4 linked regions of the Struthio camelus genome follow. The protein of the gene in region 1 purifies or fractionates together with the protein of each later gene. This does not show direct contact. Links are inferred from orthologs where the notes say so. Each region holds a gene or a part of one and is shown on either strand. Other genes may lie near its edges.

Region 1 (7,712 bases):
GAGGAATGAATTACATGTGCTGAGCTTGACCACACTGATTCCCAAATTAACATACATAGTGTATATATATAAAGCAAACTATGCTGTACATAAGTATGTTGTATTATGTCTGGATTACATACTCTTAGCTTCTCCCTAGGGAAGTCTTTTGCAACACGTACTAGCAATTAACAGAAACATAACTATAGTGACAGACATGATGTAGTTATCACAAAGAACAACTGTCCCCTTCCACCGAATCACTACATATAGCAATTAAGAGATTTCTGTTGGCGAGAGTTGCAAAGGCGGAAATAAAAATGCTGTATACAACATTCTTTCATCCTAATCTAGCCGATTTTCAGATCCAAGCAGAACATCCTACCAAATGCTGCAGCTTCAGCTACCCTTCCATGTCGTGCATTGTCTTTGTGTTATGGAGATGTAAGAAAACAGTCTGGAGAAACATGTAGGTCTATGCATGTTAGGTAAACAGATACAAAAAGGACAGCGCCAGAAAAGCGCATGCAGATAAACTAGTTAAGTTAGGTAATAAACTAGAAGATTTGGTCAGATAAGGATTACCTACTCCTAAGACTGTATTTTTTTTTTCCTGAGACAATTTCCCTCTATAAAAGGACAATTAGGAGCTGTATTTTTTCAGTTCATATAAGTGATCAATGTGAACAGTATATTTAGAAAAGAACACTCAAATTGGATAATTAAAAGGGTCATATTTATTTTACTGAAGTAATGAAAAGACGTTTTTACTATCTCAATTTTTAAATATTTAAGCTGTTTTGTATACTGGCACCTGTGTCATTTCATTTTTTTTTTCCCATTTGACACTATCTATATAAAACTGCAGTCTCTCTGACCATACATGATTATCTGCTTCCTAAAACAATCATTTCAAGTGTTGCCAACCACTAACAATCTCTCAATTCAGAAAAAACTCCCCCCTTAGGAATTTTACATGTGTGAAGTTGCTGTATAGACTATATAAATAGCTTTTCCGTGTTGCCTGTCACAAACTATTCAGAATCAGTATGGGGGCTCAAGGGGTCCACAGAGCCAAGCTGAAAGCCACTGTCCTAAGAAGTTGAATTTTTGTTTTTGTTAGTGTTTCTTACTCTTCTAACAGCCCAAAGAATCTTAGTTAGCCCATGATGTTGTGCAGCTTTCTCTTGTCTTACCATAATTAATAACCGCTAAAAAATAACCACTATTTTTCCACTCTTGTGATAAAACTCAGTAAGAATTGAATGCACTCAGAAAAAAAATAGATTGCGGAGAATGAGGAAACTATTTTTTTAATCAAATATAAATATTTCCTCATAAGTAATGAGGAAAATAAGAAACCTAGGAAAATTAACATGCCCTCAGTACCTTTGCTCAATATGTTTATCCTTCTGCTATTAACTCTAAATAATAGAATATGGCCTCCATGTTGTAAACACTTAGGCATATGAGTAGTTGTATGCCTGTGTGTAAGCATCACTGAATTTGCTGAGATCACAAGTATAAATGTTTGTCAGCTCAAGGCCTAAACTGTTAGCAGAATGTTTAATTGGCATAATTTGAATCGAGGAAAGTAGTTGTGGCAGTACCTGGCAGATTAAATGTAAGGATAGACTCGCAAGGGAAAAGGTGTTTTTAAAAAAAAAAAAAATTGATGACATAAGCAATCTAGTATGTTCCAAATCGAAAACATTCATATTTTTACAGAATTTTTATGAACCCTAGGAATGAAAATTAATTTGGACAAGTTGAAAGAGAGACTCAACTCCATGACTAACATGGGAATTATCCTAATCCTCTCTTCAACTTAATCATGGAATTTTAACAAGGTTTTTCTGGAAGCCCTTGAGATCTCCTACACTGAACGTTAACTTACATCCATTATTTTTATACTACTTTAAACACACTCATAAATGCAGTCTGTGCTTGGGTTATAGCATAAACCCTTTAAATTCTAACTCACTTGTTTGAATCTTGGCCAGAAATTACTATCATTTGCTGTCTTGTGCATGACGTATGTGAAAAGGGCAGAGGATCTTAATCTAGTATTAGTTCTAATTCTGAATTTCCATCTATGTCCACTATTGCTAGACTATTTCTGGAACAAGCTGCACTTTTGGGCCTCCACTGTAAAGGAACAGTGGAAGCCCTGAGGAGTCATCCATGTCTGTGAACAAGTCACAAGTTCTCTCTTGCCCACTTCACTCTGTTCTCTCTGCCCACTTCTCACAATTATATGCCTCTCACCTATAAAACAATTCAGTTTGGAGATTTTGCCTCAAAGGTATAACCCATCCCTGGTCTATTAGCTGCTCTTGATCACAGCATTCAGAAGAAAGAAATGCCGTAAGCCAGAGGACGATTTTGGTTACAGCTGCGTAAATGAGGGAAGCCAACTGCTTGGCAGAACCTCATACAAGGCTAAAAGATTCAGTAAAAACGGTGTCAGTGAAAGCAATTTTTCTGTCAGTGCTCCTACTTCTCCTAAGTAATTTAATGGTGGCAGCAGCAGAACTGTAAGCAGCATCAGCCAGAGCTCAGATCTGGTAACCTTCCAGACATGCTGCAGAGCTTTTTTTTTTTTTTTTTTTTTTTTTCCCCAGGCCATTAGGGATGGACAGGTTGAGGAATATGAGGGGCCAGGCTTAATCAGATGATGAGTAATGACTCTCATTGAAGAGTTGGTTTATGGAGTTCTTTATATTATATGCTTTGCATTTTGTAGAATGCTTGTAAGTTTAAATAAATGCTTAAATACAGTAATTAATAAATGTTAATATCATGCTCACCTACCAGAAAATACAAATGAAATCTGTTAGTCAGGGAAAGTCAATATTTCATAAGCAAATCTAAGCAAAAGCTTGGGGTAAAACATTAGAATCGCTAAATAGATGGAACACATGCTCTGTCAGGTGCACACTCAGGAAACTCATCCTTGTAATAGGATATAAACATCAGCAGTGCCGTTGTAGTTTACTTTCTCTCAGTCCTGGGCTGAATTTTAATCCAGAAACTCATTACCAGACTTAGTTTCGCTCATTTATTGTTCTTCACAACTGTTGGCTTCGATACAGTTTGGGGCGGGGGAGGAGGGGGTGTTTTTCTAGTTGAGGCTGGTTCTCCTTGGCTGAGTCTCATTTGCTTGTAACGCTTTCAGGTGATTCCTCCCTTCTCCACCTCCAAAACGACCCATCCAGGAGGTATTTCGGAAGGAGCTTAGCCAGGTGCTGAGTTTCCCTCAAAAAGGAAAAAGAAAAAAAAAAAAGCCGCTGCACAAAAAAACGCATACACTCGCCACGGAAGCGCAGAAAGCGCTGCCGCCCGTCGGTCCTGCTGCCCACGAGCCGGGGCGGGCCGGGCGGGCCGCTGCCCGCTCTGCCTGGCCGCGGCGTGCAGGACTGCGCTACGAGGGAGCCCAGCTTCCTCCTCCTTTACTTGCCTTTTCTCCCTGACTTGGCTAAACAGCTGCATCGCAGCTCGCAAATGACCGGTATTTTCAATTTTCGAAGCTAATGAGATCAGCATCGCACAAGTATGCACTCACCCCTCCTTTCCCAACAAAACGTAGGAGCAAATCTGCTGTTTTCTTTCAAAATATGAGCATGGCGTTTTGCGTTATTTTCGAAAGCAGGGGAAAAAAAAAACCAACAGAGCCTGAGAGTATTTTTCTTGCAAGTTCAAGTGTAAAATAAGATGCTTTTAAAATAAATAATGCACCACTTTGGATCAACGCTGTATGAGATTGTCTAGGGGCCAATGCCTACAAATCCTCCCCTTATTATGTCCCAGGATGGGAGCTCTGATGCATGGACACAAAACAACTTTGCTCAGTGACCTGTGGGCGAGGGAAAATCTTTGCCAGCTCTGCAAATGACCCAGCACTGATACTTGCTTCTGTAACTGTTCGCTCAGCAACACTCCCAATTTCCGTTATGCACGCTGACATTTTTTGGACCCGCGGACTGCAGCCCCGGCCAAACCTTTGAAAATATTTGCTGATAAATTAAGCAGGTAGTTTGGAAACAACGTAGCGAGACCGGGAGGGAGGAACGGGTAAAAAAAAAAAAAGAAAGAAAGAAAGAAAGAAAGAAAAAAAAAGCAGTGCGCGAAGCACTAAGAGCTGACCGAAACTTGCGGTGCAGGTGGCCCCTCGCTGTCGCCGCCGAGCAGGGCACCCCCGACGCCTCCCGGCGTTTCTCCCTGCATTTTTGTCCCCTCCCGCTGAGGAGCACCACGGGCCCGGCACCTTTCCCCCTCCCCAGCAAGTTCCCCCATCGCTCTTTCCACCTCGCCCTACAAGCAATTGCAGCAAACCAAGTTAACCAGGCTGGCGTGGTGGGGTTTTTTTGTATTGTTTTGGGTGGGGGGGAGAGGGCGTTGTCGCTGGAGGGCGTTAGCACTCGTGGCCCCCGCCGCACGCTGAACAGCGGCTGCCCCGCGGCACCGACCAGGGGCAGCGCGATTTGCAGGCAGCAGCGATCCCCGCCGCTGGCCGAGCCGTGCCGTTCCCACTGGCCGTGCGGCCGGCAGGGAGAGCCGGCAGGCGGAGGCGAGCTGGCAGCAGCCGGCAGGCAGGCGGGCAGGCAGGCACCGGGCGGGCGCGCACACACACACACACACACACACGCGGCGCGCACAGGGCGGCGGAGGCTGCTCGGGTATTGTTGTCATTGTGCTCCAGCGGAGGGTTTGGCGTGCGGGGAGGGGGGAGGGGTGGAGGGAGGAGAAGAAAGAGGGAGAGAGAAAGTGCAAGGCGAGTGCGCAGCAGGGCCGGGGCGGCACGCCCGGGGTTACGCGCCGACCAGAGCCGCCCGCCCGCCCGCAGCTCGCCGGGGGCCCGGCGGCGGCGGAGAGAGGTGGAAACGATCCGGGCGTGGGGAAGGCAGCCGCCGAGCCGCCGCACCAGCCGCAGCAGCAGCGACTACTTCTTTCTTATCTCCCAGCCTTTTGTTCGCTCATCCTCCTCCTCCTCCTCCCTGCCCACCCTCTGCACCGCGGAGGGGGCTCAGGAGAGAGAGAAAAGCAGCCTGACCCAGCGCTGAGTTTCACCCATCCTCCGCCTCTCTCTCTCTCTCTCTCTCTCTCTTTCTGTCTCTCTCTCTTCCCCCGCTGCATCGCTGCCCATGAGCTAAAGCAGCAGCCGCAAGCAGCCAGTGCCGCGGCAGCCGGCTCCGGCAGGCAGCGGCGAGACACCGTCCGCAGCCGCCGCAGCTGCCGGTGCCCCCCCGCCGCCGCCGCTCGCCGTGCCCGGCTCCCCGGGCTCCAGCCGCGCTCCGGGACTGCCGGGGGCCGCCCTGCCGCCGCCGCCGCCCCTCCTCGCCTCCATGTGCCGGATAGCGGGAGCGCCGCCGCGGATCCTGCCGCCGCTGGCGCTGGTGCTGCTGGCGGCCCTGCAGCAGGTAAGCGCCGCCGGCGGCTGCGGGGAGCCGCGCCGGGCTGCGTCTCTTTGTTCCCCTGCGGGCGGCGGTGCCCGCGGAAGGCGGCGGGATGGGATGAGGTTTTGGGGGGCGGGGGGGGGGCTCCGCGGCCGGCCGGCGCGTTTCGGGAGCCGGGGCGGCGGGGGTGGGGGAGGGGGGTGGCGGCAGCTGCTGCCCCGCAGCCGGGGGTCCCCGTCTGCCGCCACGGGGCCACCTGCTCGCGGCGGCTCTGCCGCCGGGCACGAAGCCTCGGCCGAGCAGGCGAAGGGGAGCCGGAGCCTCGGGCTGCCGGGGGGGGGGTCTTGGGGCCGGGGGGAGGCGGCATGAGAGCTGGTGGGGTGTAGGTGGCTGTGCCTCTGCCGAGGGGAAGGGGAAACACACTTCCCCCCCCCCCCCATTTGGGAAAGCAGGTGGCCGGGGGGGGGGGGTCCGGTGTGTATTTTGGCGGGGAGGAGGTAGCGTCTCGGCACCACGCTGAGTGTCGCGGGTGGGGGGGGAGTGAAGTACCGGGGAACAGGGAGGAGCGGACCTAACCCCTCTCGGCCCCGAGCCGGGAAGCGGGGACCGGGGGCCGTAGGTGCAAGTGCACAAACCCCACTTATTCCCCCCCCCCCCCCCCCCCGCCTCTCCTCGGGCGGCTGGGGCAACAGCCCTGCCCAGGGGGGAGGCTGCAGCGCGGCTGGGCTGCGGGGAGCAGGGCGCGGGGAGCCCCCGCCGGCTCCCGTGCCCGCTAATCCCTTCCCGGGAAGAATTTAATCAGCAGCCGCCGCCGCCGCCTCCTCCTCCTCCGCCTGGACGCCGGGCTTCCCCACCCCCCGCCGCCTTTACGGGAATTTCCACTGGGACAGGCCCGGGCTCCCGAAGTACTTAATTTATATCGAAAGTCTTGTCACCTCGCGGGCGGGGGGGTGGGGGGGGGCGCTGGCCGGGGGCGGCCCAGGCGGGCTCCTCGCGTACCAGGAGGAGCTGCGAGGTCCCGGGCAGGCTGTGGGGGAGCAGCGAGCATCCCCCTCCCCCCCGCCTCCATGATGTGTGGGGAGGCCCCGGGGAAGGGGGGCGAACGGTTTTCCGTGGAGGGAACGGGGGGGGGGGGGGGCTTCGCGCCAGCCTCCCTCGGAGGGGTGGGAGGTGGCGGGGGGGTGGGGGAAATGTAGATGAAATGGATCCTCAGTGTGCCGGGGTGTCCCTCGGAGCGGGGCAGGAGGGTGCTCGGGGGGAGCCGGGCGGGCTGGGCGCCCTGGGCTGAGGGGACGCGGCGCTGCCTGCCCAACGGTCGCGGGGGCGCGGGGCTGCCGGCGGGGGGAGGGTCCCCGGCGGCGGTTGGGGAGGGGGCCGGCGGCTGGTGCCCCCGCTCCCCCTCGCTTTGTGCTTGCGGAGCTGGTATCCGGCGCGGTGCAGGGGGCGGAGAGGGCGGTAAATCTGAGGGACAGATGGCGCAGATCATCGCCTCTTAATGGTATTTGCGGATGGGGCATTTCTGGCGGGCCGGGGGAGCGGGCTGAGGGCGCGGCGGGGCCGGTGCCCCGGCGGCGGCGGCCTCTCCCGCCGGCCGCGGAGGCCGGGGGAGGCGGTGAGCGGCAGTCACTGTCCATGGTGCAGAGCCGGGCTGCCCCCTCCTTCCCCGCCTTCGCGCCTGGCTTTTCACCGCTGACAAGGGGACGGCAGGAACTCGCTCTTCCCCTTCTCTGCTTTTTTTTTCTTGTTTTTAGTTTTTTTTTTCCCCCCCCTCCTTACCTTCTTTTTCTGGACATTCCCCCCTCCCCCCCCCCCCGCCGCCCCGCGCGCTTTCTTTCACGAGGTCCCCAGACATCTGATTCCTCCTACACGGTTTCTAAGCCACTTGCCGGACTCATGACTCGCACCAGGCGAGCAAGGTGCTGAAACATTTATCCGCAGCAGCTGGGGATTTTCTCTTCCGTCTTAAGAGGACATAGGGCCGTCCGCCGTAGCGGGGAGGTGTGCGGCTGGGCACGACTGTCTTCTCCGTGTGAAACCAGCCACCCTGTTCAGAAACTTCTGATATGCCACTTTAAAGATTGTTTTGTTTGTGCTGGCTGATTTTTGGGTGGCCTTGCCCCCCCCCCTTTTTTTTTTTCCTTAAATATTGGTCTTGGCAGACCTATACCTGCAGGTTTTTTTTTTTTTTTTTAAGTCCTTATGTGCTGTTTATTTTATGTGCTTTCAGTTCTGTTTAGCTTTCCTATCTCTTAATAAATCTGTAAAGCACAAATTATGTTTTAAGCTTTTATTCCATCCTTTTTACTCTCCTCGGCAGGTCTGAAGTTAAAGCACAAG
Region 2 (6,920 bases), on another chromosome or scaffold:
AACGCAGCCGTGTATCAGGCACGCCAGAAGGACGCCCCAGGCTTTGTGCGCTGGTGGCCGCTTACCTGTCGTCCGTGTCAGGGGCAGCCGTCTGCCGCGCGCTCTCCCCTGTCGCGTGTCGGGGCGCGCGGCGTGTGTGCCTCATGCTTTTTCTCCGGGGCAAAGCCTAGCACGGTTTGAGCACCCTGCTCTTGGCCACCCGCTCCCCTGAGGGGCAGAGACGTGTCAGGAGACCAGCTCTCCCTGTCACGCAGCCTGGGCAAATTGGGACAGCGATGGGGTGAAAGAAGGGCACTGGAGGCAACGCTCGAAATCCACCTGTGGATTGAAATAATTTGTGAGCTGACGTGGAACAGCTCCATCTGGTGACTCCCACCATAACGATGCTGTAGGTTTCATGGCTGGCTTTTTAAGCCTGGCTTCCTGAAGGCACAAGGTTTGTGTGATCGTGCCAGGCTCCCGCGTGCGCCCCACCGCGAGCCTGTTGTACCTCCCGTTGTATCTTTGAACTCCCTGGCCAAGTCCAGCCAACTCACAAAAGTGCCTTCTTCCAGCGCGTCGAGTGGCTCGCGTGGAAAAGAGGAGGGCAGCGAGGGATTAGCCGTGATCCAGGAGCAGTTCTCACTCAAGCCACAGGGCTGAGGGGGGCCGTGTCTTCCCGATTTTGGGAGACGAGGATCAGGCAGGGGTGAGGACGAAAGGGGCGCAGGAAGAAGGTCTCAGTTCGCCTGTGCCGTGGGACAGAGAAACCTCCTGCTGTCTGTGAGAGGCAGAGGTCCCGCCATCCCTGAACCCCCCCCGCCCCTGCTCTCTTTCCAGCCAGCACGTTGAAGAATGTTTTATTGATGTAACGTCAGGGAGGGTTTGGGAGTCCCCCGCCCGCCCTGATAATCTCTCTAAATGTGTCCTTCACGTTAACTTAATCCCATTTCTCCTCCTTAGGCCTTTTTGCAGCACCCTCGGCAACCTCCACCCCTGGCTGGGGGATTACCTTCTTCAAACATTTGCAGGCTGCTATCGCATCTCCCCCACCTCCTCCTTGCTTAACCAGGCTATGCATATTTACTCCTAGAATCACCCATCCCCACCCAAGACTTTAATCGACTCTTTTCCTCCTGCCGTTATCTTACTAGTAATTTGGCACTCAGGACCCGACAGGATTCTCCCCAGTCACTGAATCCAGCCAGCCCAGAACCAGAGACAAGGTGGATGAATGTCACCTTCGGGGGATCTGGATCAGGACTTCTCTCAGGTGAGTGACGCTTAACCTGGAAACAGGCAGGCTCTGCATCGCTTCCAGACCTTTGTTAAAAAAGGGGAAAATCTCCGTTACTGGAAGAGCACAAAGGTGCGCGTGCGAGAGTGCTTACAGCAAAGAAGAGGCTGCCGGTCTCCCATTTGAGCTATCAGTACACCCTCGACTCTGAATCAGCTCCCATATAGTGTCAGCGGCGGAGCCTGGGCCCTGGGAAGTGGCGCCACTTCCTTGCCAAGCTGAGTAACTCTCTTTTGTGGAGTACGGCATTTCGGAATTGTATTTCTCCAGCTGCGTTAGCTGTAATTATTAAATCTCCTGTTGCTACTTCCGGCCCCGGCTCTCTGTATCTACCCAGATCCCCTTGTATTATTTCTGTGACCCAGCAGCGATTGCAACACTGTTTGATTTAGTACCTTGGAAGAGGGGGCAAAGCAGGATTAATTTAGCTGGGTTGTTGTTTGCGTTTGATTCTTTCCAAGTCTACTGTGAAAGGCGCGATTGCTTTAGCGGCGCGCGAAGACCCCGCGCCTTCCCCACTAGACCCCTTCCCAATGGCTTATCTCATCTTTGCTTTGATGGGACTCGTAACAGCCATTCCCTGTGTTTGCAGTCCTTCGGCGGCCCACACGGCCTTGGCCACGCAAGGGGCTTTCTGAAATCCGCCCCTGCTCCCCTTACCGGGGACGCGCCTGCTGGTGCTGGGCCTTCAGGTCACCCACGTCTAGATGAGGTGTTTAGCCCCGGCCGCCCAGGCTGCGTTCCTCCACCCGCGGTCTCAGGGGGTCGCACGCAGGCGAGGCAGCCCCCGTTACCGGCGCGGGCTGCGTCAGTCCCTTGCTAGCCACATCTTGCCTTATCGGGATCGCTCTCAAACTCTCAGTTTTGTCAGGACGGAGGCAGCGGCTGGCGGGGGAGGCAAAAGGAGCTGGGATGGAGTAAGAAACAACTGAAAACTTTAATGGGAAGAGCAGCCCCTGGAAGCGTTCCTGAGCCAAGCATGACGCACAGGCTGCCAGAGCGCAAGCCGATGGGGCAGGGCGCCGCCGCACGCAAATCCGGAGGGGCAGCAGGGCCTGGGGGGGCGCACGGGGGTCCGGCGGCAGGATGGGAGACAGGCTCGGCCTGCGATGATCCCCTGGGCTTCGGAGGCGGCCCGCAGGGGTAGCGGTGGTGCTTCACACGCGCGAGCGTTTGCGGGCTTTCCGCGGAGGGGGCAAGGGTATCGCCTCCCACGGCGGGTTCGCCGCCCTTCTCCGTCGCCCCACGTCCAGGGAGTTCCCCCCCGACTACTGTCGCGTTTCTTCCTCCACCCCCAGCCCGGGGAGGGCTGAGCCCCACGGGTGCCGCGTACGCTCCTTCCCCGCCGCAGGGCCCGGGGCCGTCGCGCAGGGCCCGTGGGCGCGTGCCAGGCCGGGAGGGGGATCCGCTGCCGCTCTGCCCGAAGGAGCTGCCGAGGTGGGGAAGGGCTTTGCCCAGAGACCTCCTCGCCCTGCCGCTCCTGCCGGGGGGCAGAGCCCCAGCCCGGGGAGCAGCTTGCTGTGCCCGGGGGCGGACCCCCTGCCCTGGGGGCAGCTCTTCCTCCCAGGGACAGAGCTCCTCCGCCGGGCAGTTCTTCGCCCCTGGCGCACGTCCCGTCCTGGGGGCAGGATCCCCCCTGGGGGCAGATAACCTACCAAGGGCAACTACCCTCCTGGGGGCAGATCCACCCCCCAGGAGCAAAGACAGCCCCTAGGGCAAGATCCCCCCCCCTCCTTGGGGGCAGGGATCCCCCTGCTTGGGAGCAGGATCCCCCCCCCTTGGGGCAGATATCCCCCCCTCCTTGGGGACAGGTTCCCCCCTCCTTGGGAGCAGATATCCCCCCTCCTTGGGAGCAGGATCCTCCCCCTCCTTGGGAGCAGGATCCTCCCCCTCCTTGGGGGCAGGTTCCCCCCTCCTTGGGGGCAGGTTCCCCCCTCCTTGGGGGCTGGATCCCCCCCTCCTTGGGGGCTGGATCCCCCCCTCCTTGGGGGCAGGTTCCCCCCTCCTTGGGGGCAGGATCCCCCCCCCCTTGGGGCAGATATCCCCCCCTCCTTGGGGGCAGATATCCCCCCCTCCTTGGGGGCAGGATCCCCCCCTCCTTGGGGGCTGGATCCCCCCCCTCCTTGGGGGCAGGATCCCCCCCCCTTGGGGGCAGGATCCCCCCCTCCTTGGGGGCAGGTTTCCCCCTCCTTGGGGGCTGGATCCCCCCCTCCTTGGGGGCAGGATCCCCCCTCCTTGGGGGCAGGTTTCCCCCTCCTTGGGGGCTGGATCCCCCCCTCCTTGGGGGCAGGATCCCCCCTCCTTGGGGGCAGGATCCCCCCTCTTGAGGCAGCCCCCGCCCCCCTCCCCGTTGTTACCACCCCGCCGCGGCGGGACCCCCTTACAATGGCGGCGGCCATTGGCGGGCCGGGCGGCGCCGGGGGCGGCGGCCATTGGCTCGCGGCGCGCTGACGTGCGCGGGGGCGGCCCCGCCCCGCGGCCCCGCCCCGCCCCGCCCCGCCGGAGCAACTTCCATTTTAGGTGCGGGAGCGGCGCGGGGCGCACGGCGCGGCCCGGCCCCGCTGCCCCCTCCCTCCCTCCCTGCCGGCCCCGGCCCGCTCCCGGCTCCGCTCCCCCCGGCCCGGCGGGGCACCCGGGCCGCCGCCCGGTCCTGCCGCCGCTCCCGTGTCTCCTCGCCGCCTCCGCCGCGGCGGGACCCCGCGGAGCGCGCCGCCCCTTCCTTCCCCCCCCCCCCCCAACCCTCCTCCGAGGACCGGCCACGGTAAGTCCCGCCGCCGCCGCCGGGGCGAGCGGGGCCGGCAGCGCCGGGGGTGGGGTGGGGGGAAGGAGCAGCCGCCGCGGGGCCGGCTGCCGCCGGGGGCGGCAGGGAGGGGCACAAAGGCCCCGCGGGGCTGAGCGTCGCGCGTGTCGCCGCTGCCCGGCCCGCAGACAAAGGGCGCGCGTGTGCCAGCGCCCCGGGGCTGCCGCCGCCCCGCTCCGTGCGGGCAGCGAGGGGGCCGCGCCGGCCCGTTCGTGGGCGGGGGGCGGCGGGGCTGCGCCGCGCCGTTGGCAGCTGCGTGGGAGGGCTCGGGGCCGGCGGGGCAGGGGGGTGGGGGAGCGCCCTGGCGAGCTGGAAACTCTCTTATCTGCCTTGCTCGCCTGTCTGCCGCTATCTCGGTTGTCTGCGCCTTTGTTCTCGCGGGGAAGGGGACTTCTGTGCCTAGGGAGGGTCAAGTATGTGGGGTGGAGCACAACCCCCCCCCCCCACACACCCTCTTCTCCCGCAGCGGGTCCCCTGAATAGAACAGCTCTGATCTTAAAAACCAGACGTGTCCGCCTGGCTGGCAGGTGACACCGAAACGCTTCCAGGTGGGGAACAGCCCTGCCACGGTCAGTTCCCCGGAGCCCCGGGCTCAGCAGGCTGTTTTTCTTCAGCTCCCGTTGGCCGCCCTGTCACTTAGCAAGAGATCTGCTTCCTCCCTCCCCACCGTCCGCTGCCTTTTGTGCTAGGAGTCGATAACCTTCTCTGATACTGCCTTTCTCTTGCAACGTGAGGGCTCTGGGAGTGTTGCGGAGGAGAGGCTTATCTTGGGGTAAACGCAATCAAGTTTGGGTGGCCCTCGGACAGCGGTGAGAGAGAGAGGCACAGGCACGCTTGCCTCCCTTGCAGAAGGGATGCTGGGCATCTCCGCTATGCCCCTGGGCTTTGAGTGAGGGAGCCCGGACAACAAAGCTTCCTCTGATTGTTAGCGAGAGGGGTGGATCTCCTGGAGGTGCCTCCCTCCCCGGGAAGGGCTCCGTGCCCAAGCTCTTGCACGAAGCCTGTGACAAAGCAGGGACTCCTGAGACGGCGGGGTGAGCAGGGCTTTTTTTTTGGAGGGCCGGGATTATCCTTTCCCCTGGGAAAGAGTCTGTGGCGTGCTCGCGGCAGAGTTGGACACCCTTGTCTTGGGGCTGTGGCACCCAGCCTTGCACAGAGCTCTTCTGCCCGGCCGCTGGGAAGCGAGAGGGCAGAGTCTGGGCACATCTGAGACCATCTAGGCACGTGGCTCGTTGTGGTGGTATGTGAAGTACAGCCGTCTGCTGCTTGGTCTCTTACCTGTTGTCCTGCCTGTGGTGTTACTTGGCTGCCCTGCACTTGATGTGGAGTTGAAAACAGGCTTGTCCTCAGCTTGGCAGGGAGCGAAATACTGAAGCTCAGCACCACCAGGACCCAGGTACCGTGGGAATCGCATACCCGGTGTTTACTGCTCGAGTCTGAGGTTTCTGTTTCAGTGTCTTGCTCTTTTTCTCCGGGGCGCTGCTCTGGATGTGGGGAGATAGGAGAGAGCAGCTGGGGACAGTCGCAGTGTTTGGTGGTGGCTCGCTCCTGTCTCCTGCTGCCCGCAGTGCATGCTTCTGTGCGTCACGGCTCCCCGGGGCCTGCTGTGGCCCCAGCTTTCGGCTGGAGGCAGGGTTCCCTGGTGCAGCAGGAGAGCTGTGGAAAGCTATGTCAGCAAGAGCCCTAACGGGGGATGTTTTCGGCTTCCCCAGTTACCTTGTCTGTACCATCCTGCTCTCGGCACTTGAGGCAGGTTCTCTTACTTGTTTCTGACTGTTTACTCATGCACTTAAGGAGTGTGTTTTTTTTACACTTGATTGAACTTGGCTGGGACTCGGTTGCATGCAAATGACTGTCCTTCGCGATGTGCAGCAGTTGTTGGAATTTTGCAAGGAGCCTTCCGGGAAGGGGTGGGAGGATGAAAGTGGCTTGTTTAGTGGAGCGTGCTGGACGGCTTTGCTGGGCTCCGCTGGGCTGCTGCGGAGGGGCGAGCCTCCTCCCGTCTGACTCTGAGGTCAGGCCCAGATCTTTGTGGTTCGGTAGCCCTCGAGATCCTCCCTTCCCTAAAGACGGACTAAGAGTCCGAGGCAGATGCTTCAGCCCAGCCTGCAATCAAGCGTCCCTTGTTTTCTCTCCCTCCTTCAACTTCTGACACGGAGATAAAACCTCGATCCATTGTGTTTGTATTGGGGTGGTTTAGGACGCCCAGCGAAGCGTAGCATAGCTTGGATCATGCCTGGAAGGCTGAGTCCTCAAAATAGTTTACCGGTGCCTGTAGCCTTAGGGAAGAGTCCTAGTTAAATCTCTTGGTTTCTCTTCCCAGCAACCCATCATAACTGTCTGGCCTTTTACTACTGGCAAGCGCAGAGCCCTTACTCAAGATTGTGGTGATACTGTCTTGAGGGATATGCAGAGCTTTTATCCTGGCCTAAAAAAACCCCTTAATCCCTGCTCTATTGTTGTTTTTCCTTATTTCTGCCTTGTTGACAGTGAGGGGCGGAAGCACCAGGCTGGTTTGGGTCCATAAAAGGCAGCAGGTGTTGCCTGGATGAGGTGACAAAACCAAACCTGTTGGGTGATTCAGGCAGCTTCAGAGCTCTGTGTGCGACACAGGGCTTGGCTGGTGGAGGAAACCGTCCTCTGGCACACAGTGCAAGAATGTGTCTCAACACGAGGCTGTTGGAAAGGGACTGGCTTTGCAGGCTTTAGACCAAAGTCCTGGAGTTTCCCAAGGTGGCCACAACCTCCTCTTCAGCTTTTGTTCTTGTACAGGCCTAAGAGGCTGTTTGGAGGAAACTTGTTCTTTCAGAACTAGTGTACTGGGGACTCCCAGCAGCAGGCTGA
Region 3 (6,905 bases), on another chromosome or scaffold:
ACAGCAGTCCTATCTCAATAGTCCTTACTTCTGCTTCAACCCTGAGTCAGCCTCACAAATAACAAAACTAAAATGCCTCTATTAAAATATAAAAAGATCAAATATGCATTCCAAAACAAGGCAGGCATGCACGTATGCATGGCGTACCTATTTTATTTTCAGCATTGTTGTCCCAGAAATAGAAAATCCAATTCCTGCCAAAAGTACAGCATTTAGACCCGGTGTGTGCTGGGAAGAACAAAAAACATGGTCATGCCAGGTGCTATATGAACCAACCACCTCCTTGGCTGGCATATAAGTCTCCCCCAGGTTACAATAGCAAAAGGGCAACTTTTCTACAGCGACTACACCTGAACTAGTATCTTTAAGTGGCAATATCAGGGATTGCCCTTCCGCATACTGCTGACTAACACAGACATGCTGCCCAAGGTGTGCAATCACAAACCACTTTGTACCCTTACGGACTAGGCGCAGAGTTGCCGTCACAGAGCGAAGAATGAAAGCATTTGTTTGTTTTGTGTGCTTAACAACATACACGCAGCACCACTGTAACAGTCTCCCCTCATTGCTTGTCCTTTTCCCTGGTTTACGTTTGGTTTTCATCCAGCAAAAAGGGAAACTTTTTAAAACCAGGAAAATGGGATTACAAAACCACAGACACTGTTAAAAGGGAGATTCAGGGTCAGGTGGAAAACTTCTAATTCATTTCAAAAAAGGGACTGGTTTTCAGGTTGCCAGCACAGCCTGATGCTGTCTTAATGACAGTCACTGGATTGGAAGTGTTAGCTACTGTTCCGGGTGCCTGTCTAAACAACACCTTGCATTTCTGTCTCCTTGACAGAGCCTGCTACCGTGTTCCAGACAGAGCTGTTAATTAAGAGACAAAGTCCAATCTAAGCCTAGCCGACTCTGTTTTTACATAATTTTGTTTTTTATTTGCTGAGTCTTTTAACTTGATGATCCATGAACTGACGGAGCTGCCAGCTAATTTTCTACTTTTTGCTTCGCGTTTCAACAGTGCGGTACAGAAAGTGCGATTCTCCAGAACGCCAGGCCTTCTACCTTTGAGTTTGTAGTTTGAAAAGGGATTTTTTTTTTTTTAATCTGACATTTTGCCCTGAAAGGATGTGAGACGTGCAAAACTGCTGAATGTGGAAGCCACCACAGGAGGCCAAGGCATGATATTAAACGGAGTAATGAAAGAAAGCAAGCTATTGAAGTGTAAACTCAATTTTATTGAGAGTATGCTGCAGATCAGAAATGAGTAGTTTGAATCCCTGGTGCAACTGACACCAAAATATTAATGGTTTGGTACAAGCAGGAAATACAAAAATCTTTAAAAAAATCCATGTTTTCTCTGCACTTATAGAGAGGAGCATCTGTTTAAAAAGTCTGTTTGCTGAGACACTGAATACTCTATATTATTTTAATAACTTATATCTCAGCCAGCATCATAATTACAGACTTCACTTTCTTTCGATTAACTTCTCTCATAACAGGGCTGGACTCTTGATCCCTATTTTCTTTACGGATTGTAAAACAATGGCACTATGCTTATTTCTCTGGCTTGCTAACCTCTTGGATTAAACCGGTGGGGAGAACAAAATGCAATCTAAGATGCTGCAGGCCACAGTCCGTCTTCCCGCAGGACAGGCTTGTAGCGGCAGGGCAAAAATAGGAAGCATGGTCTTGCTGACTTTACGGAGCCAAGACCTGGAAGAAAATCATAGTCCTAAAGCATTGCATTCCTCCGCGATGGCACTAGCCTGATTGCACGGCCCCTGGAGAGCCAGCATGGGTTGCTTTGTCTACCTTAACTAGATTAGATAGCTCCAGTATATACTCTTTGCTAGGCTTTCCCAGTCTCTCTAGATTTTGACTAATATCAAAGGAAGGAGCAAGTAGATTCAGGCATCTTAGAAATGTTGGCAAATGAGTCACGAAACATATTGACTTTATTTGACTGGTTTTGCAATCCAGTACAAGCACAAGTTCTGTGGAGACCTTTGTATTAAAAGTAATCTCAAAGTGTACTACAAAAAAAACCCCCAAGTCGTTGGGTATAGAATGAAAGCGGCCAGTTCCTCACACAAGAGACTCAGTGACACTTTGAAAAAAGAAACCTTTGAAATAAATTACTGTGTAAAGACAACTTCCAGATCTACAGATTGACCTCAATTCGATTAATGTTAAGTTTCTAAAATCTCCTCCTTTTCTGATGGAGGCTCTGGCATTTGGATTCCAGGAGACATTTAAAATAGCATACATCCGTTTCTGAAATCTCCCACACTTGCATTATCACAGCTTGACAGCCCTTTTATGTCATGGATTTCCCCTATTGCTTTTCCTCTGTATGCTTGTTATTAGAGACATTTGCATGAAAACAAGACATTTTTTGAAAAGCGACAACTCTCAGAAATGTTAAGATACAACATTAGGTTTTCATAAGAAAACAGCAATTTATAAAACCCAAGAGGAACCGAGCTGTCATTTTTTCCCTTTTCCCAGCGAAGCTGATATCACGTATCCACCCGTTTCCAATAGATTTGCTACCTTGTATCTTGCGATAGCCCGGAAGACTAAAGGCTGTATCAGACTTTGGTTAGGGACCATCAGCGGGGTCCGTATGGCATGGTCTGTATCTCCATTTCTGATTTACACAAATCAGATGTCGAAAGATTAATTATAGCTCGTTAATATCCCAGTCAACGGACACGGCATGGATTTTGAACGTCTCTGCGATTTCCCGTCGTAAACCTGGGGGACTACGCAGTTCTTCTAAGTTTCACTGATGGCAGCTAGAAGATTTTTGATTCCTGGAAGTGTTTTGACCTAAAACGTTCATTTTACCTTAGAAGGAAGTTGACCAAAGGTGCCAGAAGTATGGGCCAGTGGGGGAGGAACACAAGAAGCAGCTGGGAAACCTGCCCTTTTGCCCTGTGCTGCTAGGAAAGGCTGTGGTTTCGAGCAAGTTCACGCTTCCGGCGTGCAGAAATCACAGCGAGCGCGAGGCGGGCTGGTTGTGCAACCACTGAAACCAAAAAAGCGGAAGACCGGTTTAAACCCCACGGCCTGGCCACTGAGAAACCGCAGCGATACCGCTGCAGGCCCGTAGCGGAGCCGGCAGGGCCGCAAACCGCGCGGCGCCCGGCGGGCAGCGCAGCGGGGGGAGGGCTGGGGGCGCCCTGCTTGGGGTCCCGGCAGCGCCCGAGGAGCGGGGTCGGGGCACGAGGACGGCTCCGTTCGGGGGGGGGCTGGCAGAGGCCTGAGGCGGGGACAGGCCGCCCGCAGCCCCCTCGGCCCCGGGCGCGGCCGTTGGGGCCCTCACATGCGGCCGTTGGGGCTCGCGCGTGGCTGTTGGGGCCCTCGCGCGCGGCTGTTGGGGCCCCTCGCACGCGGCCGTCGGGGCCCTCGCGCGCGGCCGTCGGGGCCCAGGCGTGGCCATTGGGCCCTCGCGTGTGGCCACTGGGGGCCGGGCGCGCAGCCGTTGGGGCCCTTGCACAGCCGTTAGGCCCCTCGCGCGCGGCCGTTGGGGCTTGGGCGCGGCCGTTGGGGCCCTCGCGGGCGGCCATTCGGGCACGGGCACGGCCGCTGGGGCTCGGGCGCAGCCGTTGGGGCCCTCGGGCACGGCCGCTGGGCCCCTTGCGCGGCCGCTGGGGTTCGGGCGCGGCCGTCGGGCCCCTTGCACGGCCGTTGGGGCTCGGGCGCAGCCGTTGGGCCCCTTGCACGGCCGTTGGGGCTCGGGCGCAGCCGTTGGGCCCCTCGCGCGGCCGGCGGGCCCCTCGCGCGCGCGCGCGGCCGCTGGGGCCGGCGCCCAGCGCCTCACCTGGCGGCGGGCGGTGCCGCCAAGGGCGGCAGGGGCGGCGCGCGGCAGCGGGCGGGCGGCGCCGGGAAGAGCCGGCCGGACCCGTGCGGGGCGGGGAGGCGGGAGGTGCCCGGAAGAGCCGATTTCCTCTCTCCGGCTCGGGACGGGAGCGGCGTCGAGCGAGACAAAGCGGCCGCGGCGGCTCCGGGCCCGGGATCCAGCGGCGGGTGCCCCCCTCCTCCCCTCCCGGTAACTTCGGCGGCGGCGCTGCCCGCTCCCCTGCCCTCCCCCCGCCCCGCTCCTCCGACTTGGGAAACTTTTCGCGGCGCCGCGGCCGGGCCTGGCCGCGCCGAGCCGGGCCGGGCCGGGCTGGGCTGGGCGAGCTCGGCCGGGGCCCAGGCCCGGCTCTGGCCCCCGCGACGGGCGGCCGGGAGGGGCCCCCGGGCGGCGGTGGGGGCTGGCGGCGGGGCCCGGCGCCCCGTGGCGGCCCCGTCCCGGCGCGGGCGGCGGCGGCGGCCCGGAGCGCGGAGCGGAGGGGAGGGAGCGCGGCCCGGCCCGGCCCTGCCCGCCTGGCTTCCGGGCGCCGCGGAGCGGAGCGGAGCGGGCCGCGCCGCCTCCCCGCCGGCGGCGGGGCGTGGGCCGGGGCTGCCTGCCGGGCCGCGGCGGGGCTCCGCGTGGCTGCGCCCGGGCGGTGCGGCCCTGCCCGGCACCGGGGCGGGGGCAGAGCCAGCTGCCGGGCGCGGCGGGGGCGGGAGGCTCCTGTGGGGAGAGCGGCCAGGCGGCGGGTGGCTTTTTTGGGCACGAGTAGATTAATGTTATCTTGCTGTTCAAAGAAGAGCTCTCTGCTTCCAGCAGCAGTACGGATCGGGCTGGAAGACTGTCAGCCGCAGTTACCGGACTGGTTCGGGTGGGAGCAGGGATTTTGCTTTAATAAAAAAAACGCACCAAAAAAAAACTTTCCACAGCTGCTGGGCACGGCTAGGTGAACCTGTCCGGTCCCTGCCATGGCAGCAGTCAGGTACAGGCATCTTCTACGTGGTTCCCCAGGCAACTATTTGCAGAGTTGAATCTTGCTGCTTGGCATGGGTTACCGAAAGCGTTGCTTGATTGCTTCAGTTTTGTGATGAGTTGATTTTTTTTTTGGTTGTTGGTTTTTTGGGGTTTGGTGCTGACAACACTGGTATGCTCTTCCTTCTCTGTTCTACCTGCAGATTTTTTTGTGATGCAGCTAAAACAAGCTTATGCAGTTCTCCCCCAAACTGGTGTTTGTGTTTGAATACGTAAAGTGCAACTTCTCTTCATCCCAGAACACCCCGTTTCCCTTAACTTAGCCATGTCACATTTTTTGATAGCCACCTATAATGCCATAAGACAAGTACCCTTTCTCTGCTGACCAGAAGTTTCATGCCACTTCTTACATCTAAACAATAGAGAGACTGCATCAATGCTTTCAGTCACTGTTTTATCCTCAACTCTCATCCCTGCAGCCTGTGGGCTACTGACTAATACATATTGGCCTGCTATTCTTGGTTAGTCCCTTTCACATTAGTTCAATGGGTGTGAAATATTTTAGGCTGAAAATACGTGGAGGACAAAAAAGTATGTTAGTCTCTTATATTTAGGCAAGAATTAGATGTGGTCGAAGCTTACTTCCCTGTTCCTCTCACGTTGGTCTGCCTGCCTTACCCGCAAGGCAGTGTGTATGTTATCGCTATGTCAGCGTGAGTGATCAATAATCCACTTGCCTCGTCTGAGTTATGCGCGTCCATTATTGTGTTCTCATTCCAGCATTCACAATTATGACTCAAGGCATGTTTATGGTTATTTCTATTGAAATAGTCTAGGATCTCCCTGCAGTCTTTTGTCGGTCCTGTTGTACTTCTTGTTTTGTTTTGTTTTTGGTTGTATTTTTTGTTTTGTTTTTAAACTGCATTGTGAGTAGGGAAGTGGGGGCGGTAGGAGAGGCTCTGCTAACTGTAGCTTTGATTCTAACCTACATCCTTAGTCATGCTGGCTAGATCAGACTTACAGCACTTTCAAACCCAGCTGAAGGTGCTAGTTTATTTTCAGCTCTTGGGCTAGTTTGTGGGGATGTTAGTCTGGGTTTCAATGTAGGTGAAAGGCTAAGCTTACTTTGCAGTATATGTGTGGTCTTTCAGGTACAAGGCAGATTGCCACGTATCTGTCTGGAGCACGCTAAGCTGTTTGGTTTGCCTTTGTGTGCTCAGGCAGCGTTAAGTGTTTAGAAGACTTGTTTCTCTCTTCCTGCTGAACTGAATCTTCTTGCTTGAAAGGGCATTATTTTAAGTTGAGTCATTTTCTGTTTTTTTCTTTAGTGGAAAACAGTTTTGAAAACATAAAGGAAATATCTTTGGCTCTTCTTAAGAGAAACAGATGAAAGTTCAGTTTTTGTTTTAGAAACACTTTGCTGTAATGTATTTGATAATAAACAAAATGCCGTCAGGTTTTTTTTTTTTGTCAGCTGGCTCTAATAATAGGTGTCTGCATCAGAGATTAAAGGTTTACCCACGGTGACAGGGAGGAGTACACTAGGTCAAGATTAGAAATACTGCACCCAAACTGATGACTTTAAATACCAAAGCAAATATTTACCTCTGATAAAATTTTCAAACTTTGTAAAGCATCAGCCTTTGAGATGGTGTTAAAACGTGTATAATGGCAAGTGTTAATATGCAGTTTATTCGTAGGACTTCCGTTAGTCAGATCAAGTTAACTGAAAGCTATAAAAGAAAAGTAATTTGTGTATTTCAGCTTCATAAATTTCTTCCTTCTGCAGCTGTAAGATCCAGAAACTGATCTTGCAAAAGAGTCCGCCTTAGTAGAGATATTTATGAGCTGAAAATAAGCTTTAGTAGAACTTTGGCCTGTGTGGAAGTTATACATACTGTTGCTCTATAATATCCTTTCTTATGAAAAGAATTAGTTAAACTCACAAAAATATTTAGCAGAGAACCCGATCTACTAAGCATAGATATTAAGGTTAGTCTAGAGCGAGGACATACATGGCTGAGATAGTCCGTTGAAGGACTTGCAGCTTCTGTTTTACTGGCATCTCTTGACTGTACGGGATGCTAAACGA
Region 4 (7,644 bases), on another chromosome or scaffold:
TACTACAAGGCCTACGAGAACTGCCTGGCGGGCTGCGAGGGCTCCTACGAGCTGCAGGAGTTCAAGGACTTCTACCCGGCCATCGCAGGTGGGGCCGGGGGCCGGGGGGCGGCGGGGGCGGCGGGGCGCAGCGCCTGACCTCTCTCCCCAGACCACTTCGTGAGCGTGCTGCGGTGCAAGGTGGACTGCGAGGCCGAGCTCACCCCCAACGTGGGCGGCTACTTCGTGGAGAAGTTCGTGGCCACCATGTACCACTACCTGCAGTTCGCCTACTACAAGCGTGAGTGCCCCCCGGGGGGGAGCAGGGGGCCGCGGCCCCGCGGGCGGGTGGCGGTCCCGGCCCGCCGGCCGGCCCCCGTCCCACGCTCGCTGCCGCGCAGTGAACGACGTGAGGAACGCGGTGCAGAGCGTCTCCAGCTACATGCTCTTCGACCCCGGCGACGCGGTGATGCAGCAGAACCTGGTCTACTACCGCTTCCACCGCCAGCGCTGGCGCCTGCAGGAGGAGGACTTCCAGCCCCGGCCGGTGAGCGCCGCGGCGGGGTGCGGAGCCCCGGCGGGTCCGGCGGTGCCACGGGGCTCACGCCGCCCCTGCCCTTGCCTCCCCGTGCCCAGGAGGCCGTGCGCTACCACAACCAGACGGCCACGCAGAAGCAGATGCTGGACTTTGCCCAGCAGTACCTGCAAGCTGACGACGAGGTACGTCCCGTCTGCCCGAGCGCCCCGGAGCGGCGCCGCGGCGGGGAAGGGGGTCCGGCCCCGGCCCTCCCTCCTCCCGTCTCCCTGCTGCAGATGGAGGTGGACGGCGGCGAGGAGCCGGACGCCCGGGACCTGCCCTCGGACGGCGAGTTCGAAGGCGAAGGCGACTACGAGGAGGGCTTCGTGGCAGAGTGGTGGCAGGAGCCCAGGACCAAAGGGGACAAAGCCGACCAAGGTTGCTGGCGCCGGGGGGGGGCCGGGGCGCTGGGGGCGGCGCGGGCGGCCGCCGCGCTGCACCTAACGGCGATCCTTCCTTGCAGAGACCCTCCGATGAGCGAGGCCGAGGGGGCCCGCGGCCCCGGGGAGCCGGGCTTCGGGCTCCCGCGCGGAGACTCGGACGCGCCGGGAAGGGCTGATCCGGCGGCAGGGCCCCTGGCGGAGCCCCCCTTCCCGGCGCGGAGCACCGGCGCCTCCGAGCCACCTCCGCGCGCTGCCCCGACCCCGGAGCCGGGCTGCCGGCGGTGCCGGGATGCGCCACGGCCCCTCGCCTCCCCGAAGGAGCCGCTCCGAGCGGCCTCTCCCCGCTGGCGTTTCATCCCGGAGGAGCCGGAGGGGCGGGAGGCTGGGAAAGGGGCCGGGGCGCCCATGCCCCGCGTGTGCCTTGGATTTCCCCCCCGCCAGCCCGCCGTAGCCTGAAGCTCCGTTAATTTAATACTTCCCGTCTTCCACGGTTGCTTTTTTTATTTACTGGTGCTGAACTTTTAATAAAATCCGGACCGGTGTTTTCACGGCTGCCTCCGCTTCCCGTTGGCGCCGGAGCCGGGAGCTCGAGGCGGGAGAGGCTGGGGCGTTCAGGGAGGGAGGAGCATGTGTCACCCCGGGGGGTGCGTGCATGACCCTGGGGGTTATTTGGGGTGGGAGCGTGCATGCATCGCCCTGCGGCTGGCCCTGGGGGTGCATGCATGACCCTGGGGGTTATTTGGGGTGGGAGCGTGCATGCATCGCCCTGCGGCTGGCCCTGGGGGTGCGTGCATGACCCGGGGGGTTATTTGGGGTGGGAGCGTGCATGCATCGCCCTGCGGCTGGCCCTGGGGGTGCGTGCATGACCCGGGGGGTTATTTGGGGTGGGAGCGTGCATGCATCGCCCTGCGGCTGGCCCTGGGGGTGCGTGCATGACCCGGGGGGTTATTTGGGGTGGGAGCGTGCATGCATCGCCCTGCGGCTGGCCCTGGGGGTGCGTGCATGACCCGGGGGGTTATTTGGGGTGGGAGCGTGCATGCATCGCCCTGCGGCTGGCCCTGGGGGTGTGTGCATGACCCTGGGGGTTATTTGGGGTCGAGGGTCCCTAAGGGGCTGGAACCGACACAGTTGCCCAGCCCCGGGCTGGAAAAGCACCCGGTGCCAGTAACGCTCCGGGACCGGGGCCGGGGGGCTGCAGCCGGGAAGCGCCCCGGTCCCTGCTACGTCGCGGTGGCGCGTGTGCTGCCCTCCTCGCCGCCGTGCCGCCGGCAAGCCCGCGCCTGCCCTGGCCGGGGCGTCTGCGCGACGGCAGCGCGGTGCCGCGGCCCAGCCCGCGCCCCGGCCGCCGCGCTCCTCCCTGCTGAGCCCGGCGCATTTTTGCTCCCTTTGGAAGTTGGCTCCCAGGACTGAAACCAAGAGGCTGAATCATAGCGTGCGCCCTTGGGGTGGGACGGGGCGGCGGGAGGCTGCCCGCACCCCTCCCTGCTCGGCACGCCGGGATGCGGCTCCCGCTCAGCCGGGCCCTTCCCAGCTCCGGCGGGCAGAGCTAAGGGGAAACGCGGGCTGCAGCTGGGCAGCTCCCCGCCGGCCCTCCCGGGGCCAAGGCTCCCTTGGGCGGGTGACGGCGGGGACGAAGGCGGCGAGCCGAGCCCCCGCCGCGGGGCGACGCGCCGGCAGGGCAGGGGCGATGGTCGAGCCCGTCGTCCTGCCGCCGCTGCGCGGGTCGGGGACATCCCGGGAAAGCGGGGACATCCCGGGAAAGCCGGGATGCGCTGGGAGAAGTGGGACAGGCCAGGGAGCCTTCAGCTCGCGCCCTTTGCAGGGCCTGCGGGTCTGACCCGGGGCCGCGGACACGCGGCGAGCCGAGCCTGCCCGGGCGCAGCATCCGCACGGGGGTTTGGGGGGCTTTCAGCCTTTTTCTCCCCTTGCTGCCCCCGGGGCCGGGCGGAGGGGTTACCGCCGCCTGCCTGTCGCTCCTGGCCTTGGCCGGGAAGGGGCACACATGGATTTTTGTCACCTGACATCGCAGCCGGCCCCATGAAGACCCCAGACCCAGCTCTGTCCCCGGGGGGATCGCGGGGGGTCCCGGGTGCGGGGCCGGCCGGCGCCGCGGGAGCTTTGGGTCCCCGCTCCGCACGCGGAGACGAAATCTCCCCCCTCCGCATGCGGAGGCGTTGGAAGAGCCGGCGCTCGCTGCCAGCCAGGAAACGCATCCGAGCTGAGCGCGAGCCGTCTGCCGGGCGGCGGCGGCGGGGATTTCTCCGGGGCTATTCCAGGCCACCGGAGCCCGGCCGGCTCGGCCGCCCCGCGAAGCCCCTCCGCCCGGATTGAGCTGGGAGGGGGAAACGCGACCAGCAAGCGAAGGAGATGCAGGGGGAGCGTCCAGATGTGCGCGCCGGGGCGGGGGCGGCGCAGATGTGCACAGCTGGCGGCGGTGGGGGGGGGTTCCCGTTGGGACGCGGCGGGATGCGGGACGCCTCCTGCCCGCCCCGCGCGGGGGGGCGCTGAGGGTGAGGGCGGCTGCGCCCCGGGGCCGCGAGCGAGGTGGGACGCGCCGAAGACGGGGCCCGGCCGGACCAGTCCTGCCGGGACGGGGTGACGCAGGCGGCCGTCACCTCCCCGGCGCGCCTCAGGCCACCCTGGGGGCTGGTCCCCCAGCCAGCCTGCCTGCCTCGGTTTCCCCATCCGGGCTGCACGGGGACCCTTCCCCGAGCCGGGCGATGCTCCAGGCCCCCCGGCCGGACCCGGCCGCGCCGCCGGCTCTGGGCGGCTCGATGCAAACGCCATAAATAATGCACGAGGCAGCTGCAGCCCCGATGGATTTGGCGGCGCGCGGGGGGCTTCAGCGGCTGCGGGGCCGCAGAGGAAGCTTGGGAAGCGGGAGCTGCCCCCCTCGTGGGGCGGGGGTCCCTGCACCCCCCAGAGCTTATCAGGGGGTCCCTGCACCCCCTGCACCGCCCCCAAGGGTCCCCCCTGCCCCAAAGGGGTCCCTGCCTGCCCCCCGAGGGGGTCCCTGCACCCCATGCATGTCCCTCAGGGGGTCCATCCTTGCCCCAAAGGGGGTCTCTGCACCCCTAGTATGTGATCAGTGGGGTCCCTGCCTGCCCCCTGCCCCCAAGGGGTCCCTGCACCCCATGCACGTCCCCCAGGGGGTCCACCCCTGCCCCACACACCTGCCCCAAGGGGGGGCTCCTGCACCCCCTGTACATGATGGGCGGGGGTCCCTGCCTACCCCGGGGGTCCCTGCACCCCATGCATCTGCCCCGGGTTGGGGGGGGGTCCTTCCCCCCCCCCGCCCAGGTGGGGCTCAGGCCCCGCCCCTCCCCAGGCCCCGCCCCCTGCCCGTGGGAGAGTCCGGGCCCCGCCCCTTCACCCCCGGTCTGGCCTGGCCCCGCCCTCCCGCTGACGTCACGCAGGTGCGCTTCCCCCTCCCACCCGCCCCCGCGGGCTCGCCCAGCCCCGCCCTCTGCCGCGCCCCGCCCTCCCCGCCCAGCGCCGGGCCGCTGGCCAATCACCTACGGGCGAGGGGCGGGGCGGCCGCGTCGCCACCAATGGGGAGCCGATAAACACGTCCGGGCGGTGGCGGCGCCCGGCCCGCCGCGGGCGTGACGGGCGGGGGCGCGGGCCAATGGCGGGGCGCGGGGCGGGGACGGGGGCGGGGCGGCGCGGGGCGCTGCTCGCCTTTTGTTCGGGCAGGAGCGGGGCGGCCGCCAGTGTGCGCGCAGGGGCCGCGGCGGCGCAGGTGAGCGGCCGGGAGCGGGCGGCCGGGAGCGGCGGGGCGTGGGGGTGGGGGGGGGATCCGGCGTCCGGGGGGCCCCGGCGTCCGGGCTCGGACCGGGGCGGGGGGCCCCGGCGTCCGGGCTCGGAGAGGGTGGACCCCGGCGTCCGGGAGCGGCCGGGCTCGGACCGGGTGGGGAGGGGGGACCCCGGCGTCCGGGAGCGGCCGGGCTCGGACCGGGTGGGGAGGGGGGACCCCGGCGTCCGGGAGCGGCCGGGCTCGGACCGGGTGGGGAGGGGGGGCCCCGGCGTCCGGGAGCGGCCGGGCTCGGACCGGGTGGGGAGGGGGGGCCCCGGCGTCCGGGAGCGGCCGGGCTCGGACCGGGTGGGGAGGGGGGGCCCCGGCGTCCGGGAGCGGCCGGGCTCGGACCGGGTGGGGAGGGGGGGCCCCGGCGTCCGGGAGCGGCCGGGCTCGGACCGGGTGGGGAGGGGGGGCCCCGGCGTCCGGGCTCCGGCTGAAGCTGGGGTTGGGCTGGGAGGATCCCGGTGTCCGGCAGCGCCTCGCCCTAACCTGGGTTTGGGAGGATCCCGGCGTCCGGGGCTGGGAGTGGCCGGGCGGCAGCCGGGGGCCCCCCCGGGGGTCGGGGCAGAGGCTCCCGCTAGAGGCAGAGCTGAAGCGAAGCTGCCTTTTATATATACAAATACATATTATAAAATACTATATGTATAAAAGAGGGAATTGTCGCCCCCGAAGGGGGGTCGGTGACAAGCTGAAGCCCCCGAGGCGGGTGCGCTGCAGACCCGGTCCGACCGGTGCCCGCAGCGATCCCCCCCCCCGGGGCGCCCGGCCGGACTTTCCGGCTCCTTTACTCCAGGAGCGACTTTGCAAACTGCGGCCGCCGTCCTCGGCGTGGCCCCTCGGTCCGCCCGCGCCTCGCTCGGCTCCGGGGCGCTGGCGTGGAGCCGCGGCCGCGCGTGGGGTGCGCCCCGGGCTGGCGTGCTGCGAGTCACGCAGGCTTCGCCACCCCGCTGGGTGCTCGCCGTGGCGGGTGGTATTTGCAGAGCGCTTTCCCCGGGGAAGCTGGTGCACCTGCGAAGCACCGAGGTTCGCCGGCACCAAAGTTTGCGAGTGGGGCTGCCCGCTGGCAGAGAAAAGGAGTTTTTCCCCAGCCAAAACCCCTGCAAGGAGCTGACAGCAAGGATCTGTGCAGGGAAACTAGGAAGATGGAGAGGGGGTGAAACTGCTGTCATTTTTGCTTGGCATTTGGAGAGGAGCGAGGGCTCTAATTGCGTTAGCAAAGTGATTAGCTTAATTAATCAGGTTTACGGCGCAGATGAAAGGATAATGCTGAAACATTGCTGGGAGTTGCCTGGGGAGGAAAAAACGTAGGCTGGTGTACGAGGAACTTGGAGAGAGGCGTTGCTGCCGCGAGAGGAGCGCGTGAGCGCCAGCCCCGTGCCTGCAAGCAGGGAAGGGCCGCGATGGCTCGCACCGCCTGTCCTTGGCTGGTCCCCTGGGGCCCAGGGCGGCCGCAGCTGCGTCATCCCTGGTAGGACTTGATCGGGCTTTGCTGTCCACCTACTCCCTGGGGGTCGGAAACCCCTTGGGTGGACGTAGCTCGCAAGCGGGACGGGAAGCAAACCTCACGCAGTGCTGCTCCCCCAGGTAACGTTTGGCGTTGGTGTTTCGGAAGGAGGAAGGAGCTGGTGTTTTGGGTCTGCAGCTGGGGCTGTGCCTGGTGCATCCCTGGCTGGGACGTGGATGTGTGGCCAGGCTGGCCCATGCCCTGCTTCTTGGGAGGAGACGGGCAGAGATGGCGTTTGCTTGATGCGTCGTTCTCCGGTAATGGATCTGGAGAGGTCTAAAGGTCCCTTCCTGCGTCTTTTATTGATGTTTGTTGGAGTAAAAGTGCAGAATGCCCAATTAAACTGTCTTTGTGCAAGTGAAGCCTGTAATTGTTTGTTGCTCTGGAGGAGTTCCATGAAGTGTCATGAAAAACCCATTTTACAGCAGATTTGGCTTAAACGAGTTGGCCATTAGGACAGGAATGTAAAAAACTCTTGGCTTAAATGGTTGAGATGTGAAGGGGGGGGAAGGCAATTGGCTTGTGCGCTGTTCTCAGCTGCATTAGCACAAGTGATGGGGGGCCGTCTTCAGGACACCTGGGTCCTTCAAGCTGCCCCTGCTCCAGGAGTTTGAAAAGTGGCTGCTGGAAACCCCCTGCTCCGACCCGCCGGAGTCGGTGCAGCAGCGACGCGGCAGTCACTTTCGAACAATAGACTTTATGGTCTATTGTCTGGGCGCTGCTGTGCCGGGTGCGTCGCCGCCGGCTCCGGGGAGGCGCGTGCGTCCCTGGCGCGGTCCGGAGGAGCCGGCGCTCCGCTTCCGACTTCAAACATTGGCCTCGGTGGCGCTGGCAGCTCGCCGTTTGGTTGCAGCTGGAGACCTTGAAGAATTTCACCTCTGGTCCCAGCGCTGTATTTTAACCTTAATATTCAGCATTGTCCTAATCCCCATTAATTCTATCCTCTCCCCCCCCCCAAAATCCTTAATCAGATCTAGCAGCTGGAGTAGGCAACTGTTTTGCAGCTGGGAGGCTTTTTTCGGTGAAGGTTATTCCTGTGACGATGGCTTCCCTTCCTGGCTGTGGTTTGGGGTGGGAGCACTCGATGGTGTTTGGCTTTTTATCGTGCTCCCAGATCTCTGGGGTTTAAGGCAATGGTCCTGCCTGGCGCGCTGCTGCTCGCAGGTGGCAAAGCCTTCGGGAGCGACGCTGGCCGTGGCCCCGCTTCGCCTGCTTTTTGCACGGGGAGCAGAGGCTCTTTGCGGGGAGCTTGTGAGACTTTAATTGCAGTGTCTGTACCGTGACTTCACCAGTCTTGGAAATCTTAAATTAGGCTGGCTTCTAATTAGCAGCACTTAAAAAGAAATCCAATTTCTAGAAAAACAGCACAAGTTTGCCTTGGACTTCTTGTGGCATTGACACC

What was found.
Region 2: the proteins of CDH2 (region 1) and CTNND1 purify together in Homo sapiens (affinity purification with western blotting; 6 studies listed by BioGRID and IntAct, with this or other methods). This does not show direct contact. The link is inferred for Struthio camelus from reciprocal best matches to the Homo sapiens genes CDH2 and CTNND1.
Region 3: the proteins of CDH2 (region 1) and CTNNA1 purify together in Homo sapiens (affinity purification with mass spectrometry; 4 studies listed by BioGRID and IntAct, with this or other methods). This does not show direct contact. The link is inferred for Struthio camelus from reciprocal best matches to the Homo sapiens genes CDH2 and CTNNA1.
Region 4: the proteins of CDH2 (region 1) and JUP purify together in Homo sapiens (co-immunoprecipitation; 4 studies listed by BioGRID and IntAct, with this or other methods). This does not show direct contact. The link is inferred for Struthio camelus from reciprocal best matches to the Homo sapiens genes CDH2 and JUP.

What each region holds. Positions count from the first base shown.
Region 1 is NC_090943.1:123,141,271-123,148,982, reverse strand, and holds the start of CDH2 (cadherin-2), read left to right. Parts: upstream 1-4,704; 5' UTR 4,705-5,324; coding exon 5,325-5,399; intron 5,400-7,712. UniProt on the Homo sapiens protein: Calcium-dependent cell adhesion protein; preferentially mediates homotypic cell-cell adhesion by dimerization with a CDH2 chain from another cell. Cadherins may thus contribute to the sorting of heterogeneous cell types.
Region 2 is NC_090946.1:7,454,270-7,461,189, reverse strand, and holds the start of CTNND1 (catenin delta-1), read left to right. Parts: upstream 1-3,903; 5' UTR 3,904-4,037; intron 4,038-5,094; exon of another isoform or gene 5,095-5,472; intron 5,473-6,920. UniProt on the Homo sapiens protein: Key regulator of cell-cell adhesion that associates with and regulates the cell adhesion properties of both C-, E- and N-cadherins, being critical for their surface stability.
Region 3 is NC_090954.1:20,905,414-20,912,318, forward strand, and holds the start of CTNNA1 (catenin alpha-1), read left to right. Parts: upstream 1-3,885; 5' UTR 3,886-4,054; intron 4,055-6,905. UniProt on the Homo sapiens protein: Associates with the cytoplasmic domain of a variety of cadherins. The association of catenins to cadherins produces a complex which is linked to the actin filament network, and which seems to be of primary importance for cadherins cell-adhesion properties.
Region 4 is NC_090966.1:7,328,447-7,336,090, reverse strand, and holds the start of JUP (junction plakoglobin), read left to right. Parts: upstream 1-4,623; 5' UTR 4,624-4,681; intron 4,682-5,524; exon of another isoform or gene 5,525-6,322; intron 6,323-7,644. Other genes in the region: P3H4 (endoplasmic reticulum protein SC65), read left to right, coding at 1-88, 152-280, 381-526, 616-699, 793-934, 1,020-1,033. UniProt on the Homo sapiens protein: Common junctional plaque protein. The membrane-associated plaques are architectural elements in an important strategic position to influence the arrangement and function of both the cytoskeleton and the cells within the tissue.